3 linked regions of the Arabidopsis thaliana genome follow. The protein of the gene in region 3 interacts with the protein of the main gene of each other region in a pairwise test. Each region holds a gene or a part of one and is shown on either strand. Other genes may lie near its edges.

Region 1 (3,761 bases), on a different chromosome or scaffold from region 3:
TAATTGATCTTTTGACGAAATATGAACAATACATAAGAAACCGGGAGTGAAAAACATGATTAGGATAAAATGATAGTCAAGTGCCACATGTTTCAAACAAGAATGAAACAAAATGATTATCCCATAGATAGATAGCTCCAGCATTGTCACAATAGATCACATGATAAATCGTAAAGGACACACCAAGCTCCTTTGTGAGAGACGTGATCAAACAAAAGTCAAATGCAATGTCCAAGATATATCTATATTCATGACGATTTCGCCATTAATTTTTGCTTCTTTCAAGACATGTCATCGGATGAGAACCTAAATACATGATGTTAGCACTTGTGGGGAATAATCATATCGGTTTCCGACTTCAGTTTTGTTATTACCACTTATAGAACATTTCAAATACCCTCAAATACATGTTGAAATATATTAGTTCAGCATGTTATAGGGATGAACAAACAATCTTATCTTCAATGACCTATGCATAATGCTTGTTGATTTTAAATTATAAAAGAAAGATATCATTGATGTAAGCCTTTAATCAAAAAACAATATGTCAGTATCATTGAGTTAGCCAGGTGAACAAGTAACAATTAAAAAATAACTTCTAAACAATGTTTATTAAAATACTGTACTAAAAAACTAACACATTCAGTATTAATCTGTTATAGCAAATGATTTTTTTTTTCCTTAACAAAAAAAAAAAGTTTACAACTTTATAATAACTCAAAATGTAATTTCATCTTTCAGGGATGGATAAGTACAAATTTTCTTCTTCTTTCTTTTTTCATTAACCTGTAACCACTACCTTTTTTTTTTTGTTTAATATTTACATCGATCTCACACCAAACCCAATTCCCAATGAAAGTACCAAAAAAAAAGGATTTAATATGTCTTTTTTTTTTGTTTGGACAAAGATTTAATACGTCCTAAGATGATGATTCATCAAGAAGTTGAGAAGAAACAGCAGAAGATTGAGACCAGAGCCTTTGATTAAACTCCAGTTGAAGATGATCAGGTATAAACTGTGTACGACAAAGTGGACACGTCATCTGATTATAACCCATCATCCAACGGTCCAAACATCCCCGATGAAATATATGTCGACAATTCGTCAGCCGTCGGATCTCGTCGTCGTTCTCGAAATCGTAGAGACACACTGCGCAACACTCGGATTCCGGTCGGTTTATATCCGAGAATCGAACAACCGGTAACATCTCTCCGGCTAGTATTGCTGCTGAGTCAGGTTTGGTCAACGTGGGTGGTGGGTCGGGCCATGAGGTTGAAACCGGTTCAGGTTCTAAGAAATCTGGTAGACCAATGATCTTGAACATTGTGGAGATGAGTTTACGTATCAAACCTAAGAAAGATAACAAGTAGAAAAAGATTTTTGGGAGAAGTAGCTCAGAATATCCCACCGGAAAACCCATTGCCTCGCCGTTAGAGAGATAAATGATAAGACAAGAGACAGAGAGAGAGAGAGAGAGAGAGTTTTGGATTGTGATGATAAGGTGGAGAATGGGTGAGATTTATATATAGGAATAATAACTTAATTAATGTATTAGTACTAATTTAATAGTCAATGAGGTGCTTTGTTTTTTGGTATTTTGATTCGTTAATAATTGTTCTAGATGAAGGATATTAGCCAGGAATGTGGTGATGATGTTTCTAGAGGTTATACTAGTAAATAATAGAAGACTACTTGACCTTTTTTTTTTCTATATAATTTAAATAAGGGTTTTAAATAATTTCTTATATGTATTTTACTATATAATAAACTCGTTACTTTCAAATTTCCATTTTAAATCAGATTTAAACACTAAATTTCTGTTTATTTAATTTTAACTTTCTTACAATTCTTGATTTATGAAGTGGTATAAAAGTTTTAGGAGAAAAGACATGTATACATGAAATACATAATGACATAATCAAAGATATTTACAATTGAGTATACATTATTTTTAATACGGTATACGGAGACAGAAATGTAACTTCTGCTTATAGCACCCAAGAATACACATAATCAACATATTACAAATGAAAAAAAAAAACTCATACCTAGGTTAACCCATGAGGGTTTAAATATATTAAACTTTTCTAAAAATCCCAAATATTAATTAGTCTATACTTTGGTTCAAAATCGTTCGATTACAAAATAAAAAAAATCGTGTTTTTATTTGAATCTTTGGTTCAAAATTATTGGATTGATGTTTTCAATGTATTTTAGCGTAACTGAATTTGGATTTTGACAAAGTCACTACAATACACGACTTATGTATTACGTTGTAATGTGTTAATCGTTAATTGGTATGGATTTTGACTGAGTTCTCTTTGAACTTCACTCATGTTCAAAGAGTCACTGCATCATAAATGGCAAAAAAGAAAAGAAAAAAAGAGAGTGGGAACTGCAACATAAGGGATCAGATCTGGATGAATGATCGAATTTCTGTTCTTAAAATACGATCTTCCTCCTCCAAAGCCGAAGGCTCCATTTTGAAGATGCCATCGGTGGATCTTGCAGTTTCTTCGCCATTATATTGTTCTCAAAATGCTTCTGATTCTTTATCTCTTTGTTAGATGAAAGAGAAATAAAACAATTTTGGGAATAATTATTTTGTTTATAATTTTTATGAGAAATACATCAAAATCAGAGATAAAAGGCTCGTATTTGTTTTACTCGTGATTTAGACAAAATAATACATTGAAACTCAAATGTAACAAAATCAAATAGAAATTGAATGACAGTGGATGTCACCGTGTCTTTGAAAATACATACAATTCCGTTAGAATACAATATTCAATAACCCCACTCTAAAAATTGATCTTTGCCTATAAGCCAAACTAGTCACATTCATAAATTATTAGAATTAAATTAAAATAGTCAGACAGACGACAAATAATCGAGGTGAAGACAGATAGTTAGGTTCATTTCTTTTCAGTTTGTCTGTACCTCTATTGAACTATGCTATAAGCCTATAAAGTATATAAACTATGAATATATACGTGTGTATTTTTTTAAAAAAATTAACTGTTTTAACAAAATATTGCAAAACCATTATTTCTATTTTTAATGTTTTTGTATGAGAAATTTTTGGTCTACATGATTTTATTTTCACATGGATGTAAATCATAAAGTATCAAGATTAGTAGTAAACAAAGGTATCACGATTACGTCGTTTTCTATGAAATTTTACCAGATTTTTTAATTGGCTGTTACGTTTTGGTATAAATATGGGTACCCAAATGTTACTTATGGTTGATAGGATTTGAGTTCAAATGCATATTATGTTTGTATCTTCACATCATTACATGACTAGTTGAACTATCATCAATCTACATATTCGTCATTTGCTATATTAATTACTAGCATTTTGAGAGTGTATACTAAGTATATTAAGACCTAAATTAATTACGTAGAAAAGTCCACATAGCTCTTCAATTTGGCTTTTGATTCCGTTATGTCAAATATACTTCTAGAATACAATATTAAGGGATCTATTTCTGAGGAAGAGCGAAAGTCTCATGTCATATGGGAATCTGACTAATGTAATGAAAGAGCCAAAAGCAGCACTGACCCACCTCACACTCTCTCCATCTTCTCCTCCAACATTTCACATTCCAAAATTTAACACTTTCTTTTTTCTTTTGCAACTATAACTATATACATTAACATAGTATATATATATATATATATATATACACATTAACATATATATATATATATATCAGTTAAGTACATATACGTCAATTTGTTGATGCATTTATCTAAC
Region 2 (3,761 bases), on a different chromosome or scaffold from region 3:
ATCCAAAAACTTAGGTGTGACCAAAAAAAAAAAAAGAGTTGAATCCTTCACCTACCAAAAAAATGGATTGTGACCAAAAGACCATGACATATCAAATTTTTAGTGATTAAACCGATTTCTTCCAAGATGCTAGTATTTGTTTTTATCTTGCCATATTTTAGTGATTTTTCATAGTAGTAAATATATCACTTTGACCACATTTAAAGTTGATGTATGTCCCCTTCGCATTTGTCATGTCGGTTAGGCATTATATGTCTCCTTTTTTCCTGATCATATGCTCCTATCAATTTCTACAAACTCATGAAAACGATTACTAGCTATATAAATCAAGCATAGGGTTCATAACATGCAACTTTAATTCCCCACAATTATCGCAAATAAAATTGTATATAAAGGGTTTATCGTAATTATCATAATGTTAACATTTTCATAATATAGATACTTTTGGTTTGACCATCTTTTCCTTAATATAAGTTAATAAATTAAGATGCTCTTTTACTTGCAAACAGAAAGTTCTAATGTGAAAAAGAAATTGTTATTGCGTAATCATGATCTCACTTATCCGTCAGCATAAGTAACGATCCACTCCACATAGCTACGTCACTTAAAGTCCCATAGTAACTAATTTTCTTTGAATGTTATAGCAAATTATTAGCAATGTATGATTCTTTGGGTCAAATCTTACACTAAAAACATGAAAATAATTTGAATATCAAGAGATTCATATATTCATATTTTATAACCAAAATATGTAGGGTCTAAATTATTGCTTCTTGACTAGGAATTACCTATGAATAATTATTAAGGTTCGTGAAACAGTGAGGGAAAAAGAAGAAGAAGAAGAGAAGACAGTCTCTAGCACGTGCCAGGTCATGTGTCGGCGACGGTCAAATGCCGGTGCAAGTGTTTCCACGTGGCAGCCTAATACTCCCAAAATATAATCTTTTGTTTTCGTAAACTTTTTTCCCTTTGAATCTTTGACTGCCTCTTACTGCATTCTTCACACCAAACGACCGGCCGGTGACTGAGTGTTTCCGGTTTCCGGTAACACATAGTCTTCGCTGACTAAGACTCCTTCAATAACGTCGTCTTCTTCCACGCGCCGTTTAGTCGTAGCGCGTGTTATCAAGCCCGTCCACTATATATGCCACGTATAGAGTGGGGAAGAAAATGAAGGTGAGAACTTTTCATGTCCTACTTTTTGGCCCCATAAAAAAGGCAGCACACAAAAATAACCCAAAATTTATGCATGTTTATCAAATGTGGAAAAATAAAAGTAGAATTTTAGGAAATTTATACGAAGATACAATGCAAAGACTCGAAGAAATGTATTTAGTGGTATAGAAATACTTGCAAGTAAGCATATTCTGAATTAAAAATATAGAAGCTTAAGTATGTTTCCTCACTAGAAGCCAGTTTTGCAGCTCTATTTTTGTCAACTTAGCTTTACGTAAAGTTCTTATTGCCCGAAACCAAAAAGTCATTCAAAAGGCATAACATGATATCACAAATAAAATTATCATCTACTTCTATATCTTATTTCTTGAATATATATATATATATATATACCTATCTATTAAGTTGCTTATCGTTCACATTATTAATTTATAATTAACTTTATGTACATTTGACTGATAAACATTAAAAAGACTTATTTGAACCTTTTTGTATATGAATTCAAAATTATACTGATAAAATAACGTGAGGAAGAAATATTATGAAAGCTTTTAACATATAAATTAATTTGCATAGGAAAAAATTACACAACTTAAATTGAGATTAGTTAAGAAACAAGAAAAAACAAAGTTGATAGAAAAATAAAAGTATTAACACGACTTTGGATTCACACACGTACCATTGAATTATATCTCAATACACTTTTACTTAATTAACTTATTTCCAAACCAAGTAGCCAAAATCATATTATTCTTCTCTCTCTTCCTTTTTTGAGTTTCAAAATGCATAAATACGAGAACGAGAGACGAAGACCAAATTAAAGTCCAAGCACCAATCTAGACCTCTTAGGAAAAAAACCTAAAAACCTAATCCCCAAACCTAAAAGGCTTATCTCATCTCTTCTTCTTTGTCTTCTTTACTCTTTTTTTACCTCTCTCTTCATTGTTCTTCACCATGTCTAATGAAACCAGAGATCTCTACAACTACCAATACCCTTCATCGTTTTCGTTGCACGAAATGATGAATCTGCCTACTTCAAATCCATCTTCTTATGGAAACCTCCCATCACAAAACGGTTTTAATCCATCTACTTATTCCTTCACCGATTGTCTCCAAAGTTCTCCAGCAGCGTATGAATCTCTACTTCAGAAAACTTTTGGTCTTTCTCCCTCTTCCTCAGAGGTTTTCAATTCTTCGATCGATCAAGAACCGAACCGTGATGTTACTAATGACGTAATCAATGGTGGTGCATGCAACGAGACTGAAACTAGGGTTTCTCCTTCTAATTCTTCCTCTAGTGAGGCTGATCACCCCGGTGAAGATTCCGGTAAGAGCCGGAGGAAACGAGAGTTAGTCGGTGAAGAAGATCAAATTTCCAAAAAAGTGTAAGTCATAACTCTATAGGAACTTTTATGCAAAACATTGAACATCATTTGATCTCTTCGTTTAGGAATTTAGTCTAGCATGTGTATTAATTTTATAGTGTATTATTTTTCAGTGGGAAAACGAAAAAGACTGAGGTGAAGAAACAAAGAGAGCCACGAGTCTCGTTTATGACTAAAAGTGAAGTTGATCATCTTGAAGATGGTTATAGATGGAGAAAATACGGCCAAAAGGCTGTAAAAAATAGCCCTTATCCAAGGTAACTAAACTTTCCCTTTTTATTTTTTGAAATTGCTAGGCTTGTGAAAATTTGTGTTTAGAAAAATGCGACCATTATAGTGTAACTGATAATAGCCAATGGAAACGAAAATAGGAGTTACTATAGATGTACAACACAAAAGTGCAACGTGAAGAAACGAGTGGAGAGATCGTTCCAAGATCCAACGGTTGTGATTACAACTTACGAGGGTCAACACAACCACCCGATTCCGACTAATCTTCGAGGAAGTTCTGCCGCGGCTGCTATGTTCTCCGCAGACCTCATGACTCCAAGAAGCTTTGCACATGATATGTTTAGGACGGCAGCTTATACTAACGGCGGTTCTGTGGCGGCGGCTTTGGATTATGGATATGGACAAAGTGGTTATGGTAGTGTGAATTCAAACCCTAGTTCTCACCAAGTGTATCATCAAGGGGGTGAGTATGAGCTCTTGAGGGAGATTTTTCCTTCAATTTTCTTTAAGCAAGAGCCTTGATCGATCATTGTTATAACTACATATATTATATATATTGAGAGAGAGAGGTAGAGAAAAAAAAAACTTATATGTAACTTAAGATCTTATTTTGTCTCTCTTATTTGCATGTACATATTTTTTCATGAAAGAATGAGACAGTTGGGCTTGCTTATATATTTGATGATGTTTAATGTGTTACCGTTGGATACATATTTTCGCTTCCATTTTGTGAAATTATATTTTCTTCTTTTGGTTAGTTTTTTACATTATGATATTATGCTGTGTAATTTGTACTATCATATGTAGAAGCGAAAAAGACATAACTCTAGCTAGGAGCCTACGATTGATCTCCCAAATGTTGATTATAATATATACATATGCTTTTGGGAAACTTAAGTATTAAATTGACAAGTTCAAATGGTCAACTTCTTACTGATTTATATCTTAATAATCAAAAATTACAAAAAA
Region 3 (3,761 bases):
TAACGTGACAATAGTACTTCACCTCCTTATATTATTATGCCTATAGGTACTCTTACGATGTAAAAACAGTTTCTTTCTTTTCTAGTCATTCAAATTTATAATTATTGCCATGTATATGAAAAAGTGTAGGAAGTGGTCACTCGTCGTCGGTTATACAACATGTCGGCCTAAATTATCATTTTATATGCTTTGAACATTCAAAAATTAACAAGACTGGAATCTAATAAGCTAAATTTAGACCACAAATGATATTTGGAAGTACCGGTTAAAGTATAAACCGATCATGATCAACGATACACCCAATAAAGATTGCAATACGATCTCGACCAACCGACCGAGATCATTATAGTTAGATTCACGAAAACACTTCTCAAGAAAGCCGAAAACGAAAAAAAACATTCCAAGTTTCTATACTTTTAATGTCTTGGGTCATGAAAATAATATATTTTCAATAGAGAAAAAAAAAAAACATAGTAAACATAATATTTAAGCAAATAAATAAAATGTTACCTGATGCAAGGGTACTATCGTAATTAAAGAAGCGAGGCTGGTAAGCTGAAGAAGGCGGAGTGAGAGAGAGCTCCGTCGTACAAGTAGAGACAGCTGACACATCGTCGTCGTCATCTTCTTCATTGATGAACTTACCTTGATTGTAGCGGCAAGAGGACGAAACCGTCATTTCAGCGTCTCTTGACAACGTCGGAGGAGGCTGTTGACGTTGTCTTTGGCTTTCTCTAGTCCGTCGAGCCATGATGACGTGCCAATGGTTCTTGACAGCGTTATCGGTACGACCTGGAAAGAGACGAGAGATCAAAGCCCACTTGTTGCCATAGGCTCGATGAGCTGCTAACAGCCTAAACTCTTCTTCCTCCGTGAAGGCTCTCTTGTTAATCCTTGGGTCTAGTTGGTTAAACCATCTCAATCTACAACTCTTGCCTGTAGTCAAAGAAGTGTCCCTCACATTATAAAAATTAGTTACTATCAAGCATTATGTCATTATGCCTTATACAACTTAGTCTAACTTGTAAAAACTATTTTTAAAAAAATCCAAACACAATTACGAAAATGCCTAATAACTTTGGAAACTCAACTCACCAAAGTTTTTAAATATATTTACTTATTTTTCTTCTACATAAAAATAGTTAAATTTGCGGAATTTGGAGTAACAAAAGTGAAGGAAATAATTAAGTAATAAGAATTTTAAGTAAAATAAATGTACCTGATCTACCAAGAAGGTGGTTAGAAATCAAGTTCCAGTTTTGGGGACCAAACTGGGCAACAAGCTCCTTGAGTTTAGCATCTTCTGTTGGTCTCCAGTGTCCTCGTGAGCATACTTTTGTGTTAATTCCACTTTTGCCCCTCATTCTTAAACTCTTTTCGTTTTCACCTCTCTCGTTCCCATGTTCATCTTCCGACTCCAAGACTGAGGCTGATTTGTTGTGAGGATGGTTTCTAGAGATAGAGGGGTTGTTGAGTGAAGTTTTACAAGCAGCAGTGTGTGAGTTTGGTAGAGATCTGAAGTTGTTTGCTTCTTTGTATCTTATTGACCCATTTGTAGTTTCCTTACCTCTTAGATCTTTCTCAAGGAGATTTGGATTCATGTTTCTGGGTTTAGGGATTAAGGGAAGAGAAACTAAAAATAGAAGAGAGATAGAGGGAGAGAGCACTTGAATGGCTTTTCACTGTTTATATGGTGGAAGAGGAAAGAGAGATTCTCTAAAAAAAATTATTGAAATTTATATTTTTATTTACATTTATTTGCAAGCTAGTTAATATATATAGAAGAATATTTTAGAAAATGATGATGAGTGCAGAGTGGTTATTTAATGTACATGAAAAACAAAATTGATAGCTGTTTATTCACACACCAAAAGAAATTGAAGGGAAAGTTTTGTAAAAGCATATTCAAATGAATTACAAGTGTTAATTACCAAATTGTGGCCTAATAATCCCATGCTAATGGTTTTATACAATTACGTGCGGTTTCATTTTATTTATCATTTTTTTTTTTTTTTCAGCAACCACATTTTAACTATATTTATAGTCGATGCCTCGATGGTGGTCGTACAAAATCGAAATTCGATCATTAAAATTCCAAGATAGATCTATAACAATTTTTCATCACTATCTTCATAAGAGCTGCTTGTTATTGTACTAATATTGTGTTAATTAAATAGTTAAAATGAAACCGCACGAAAACATTAAATATTCAAGGTTCACGTTTTCCTTCACGTACGTTGCGATTTAGTTTTTACTCTTACACGAAAAATTTCGAATAATGAGATACTTTCAGTACAAAGCTCTCTCTCTCTACACGTGCAAAAGTAAGGGATTTGGAAAAGTCGGTGGGTACGTGTAGTGTAGATGCATGCAAAACGAGACCCGCTCGTGCGTGTGGGAGGGTTCGATGACCATAGGCCCCACAGTCTCAACAGTCTCGGAAACTCCAAAAAACATTTTTGAACCGCTCGTGTGGCTATAGTATATACTATGCACACATACAGATATTGCACGTACGTTAAGTGTGTGTGTGTGAGTTAATTATGGGAAAAAACAACAGAATCAATTTTTGTCTGTTTCGGACACAAAGCAAGAAAAGATCTTAAAGGGAGAGAAATAAATTGCTTTTATGAGCTTTCTGTTCTCTCCATAACGTATAAGTGTGTATATATATATTCGCATCTTTCAAAGAACTCGTTTTGTGTAGTTAAATTATAAAGTAATATGATGATTAGCTCAACAACTAGTTCAAGTACTTCAATATCTTTTGAACGATGGGTTCGACGTCGTTTGGGGTGTATACATTTTTACTTATATACTATATTCAGTGAAATTCAAGCATTGTTTTTGTTTATTACTTAAATAGTTAATTGAACTCAAACAATGTTGTGCGTACATTTAATGGAAAACAGACGTGGCAAACAGAAAACATATGCACATCCTATATTTTTTGCTACTAGTTTAAATTTAAATTTTGCTGTAATTTTTGTTTCAGGATGAAATATATAATCTTTGTTGAAGTTTTTTAAAAAAAACTATCATCAAATTGGTTATTTTAAAGTAAGTTTTAGGTACGAAGGGAACATAGTTTTTTTAATTTTTAGGAAAACTAAAAGTACAAAAAAGAGAAGAAAATGTGAATGGTGACAAACAAAAGTTCAATTCATTTCTTATAAACCAAAAATAATAATTGAACAACCAACTCTATTGAAGACCATTATTATTCAATGATATGGACTATTTATGCTCCCATTGAACCTATAAGTTGTAGACTTTAGTTTTTTGTATCTTTTTGATATAAGAATTGAGTGGTCATTCGTTTGAATGTAATAATTATCTTTCATGCGTAACAACTTACTATAGTCTTGATATGACTAAACAAAGCTACATATTTTAGTAATTGTACTAAACTCGATCGAGTATGCAACCACATAATTTTGATGGATTAAAATACTAGAGATTAAAGAGAGAAATCATGTAACTGAACTCGAACTAGAATTAAATTCAACAATAATAAATGAAGAATAAAACAAATATAACACGAATAGACGTTAGAAACCAAAGAAACGACAGAAAAGTACCTAAAGTTTTTTATTTATTGTGTCTTGTTTTTATGTGAGTTTCGGTTATGGGAACGGTTTCGTTAATTTTGAAATCTTCTGTTGACGACAAAAAAAAAGTCTTGTACCGACGTGGAATGACGACATCATTGGCTGTTACACACGAGCGGATCGTGTTCTTACCTAACACGTGTACCGTCC

What was found.
Region 1: the proteins of MYB56 (region 3) and AT1G63840 interact in a two-hybrid assay, tested with the Arabidopsis thaliana proteins (one large-scale study listed by BioGRID).
Region 2: the proteins of MYB56 (region 3) and WRKY28 interact in a two-hybrid assay, tested with the Arabidopsis thaliana proteins (one large-scale study listed by BioGRID).

Annotation. Positions count from the first base shown.
Region 1 is NC_003070.9:23,689,071-23,692,831, forward strand, and holds AT1G63840 (RING/U-box superfamily protein), read right to left. Parts: upstream 1,738-3,761; 5' UTR 1,422-1,737; coding exon 921-1,421; 3' UTR 533-920; downstream 1-532.
Region 2 is NC_003075.7:10,059,378-10,063,138, forward strand, and holds WRKY28 (WRKY DNA-binding protein 28), read left to right. Parts: upstream 1-1,836; 5' UTR 1,837-2,130; coding exon 2,131-2,561; intron 2,562-2,674; coding exon 2,675-2,818; intron 2,819-2,932; coding exon 2,933-3,314; 3' UTR 3,315-3,516; downstream 3,517-3,761. UniProt on the Arabidopsis thaliana protein: Transcription factor. Interacts specifically with the W box (5'-(T)TGAC[CT]-3'), a frequently occurring elicitor-responsive cis-acting element.
Region 3 is NC_003076.8:5,875,087-5,878,847, reverse strand, and holds the start of MYB56 (myb domain protein 56), read right to left. Parts: upstream 1,736-3,761; 5' UTR 1,602-1,735; coding exon 1,220-1,601; intron 937-1,219; coding exon 511-936; intron 1-510. UniProt on the Arabidopsis thaliana protein: Acts as a cell-specific local repressor of quiescent center (QC) self-renewal by cell divisions in the primary root. Counteracts brassinosteroid (BR)-mediated cell division in the QC cells.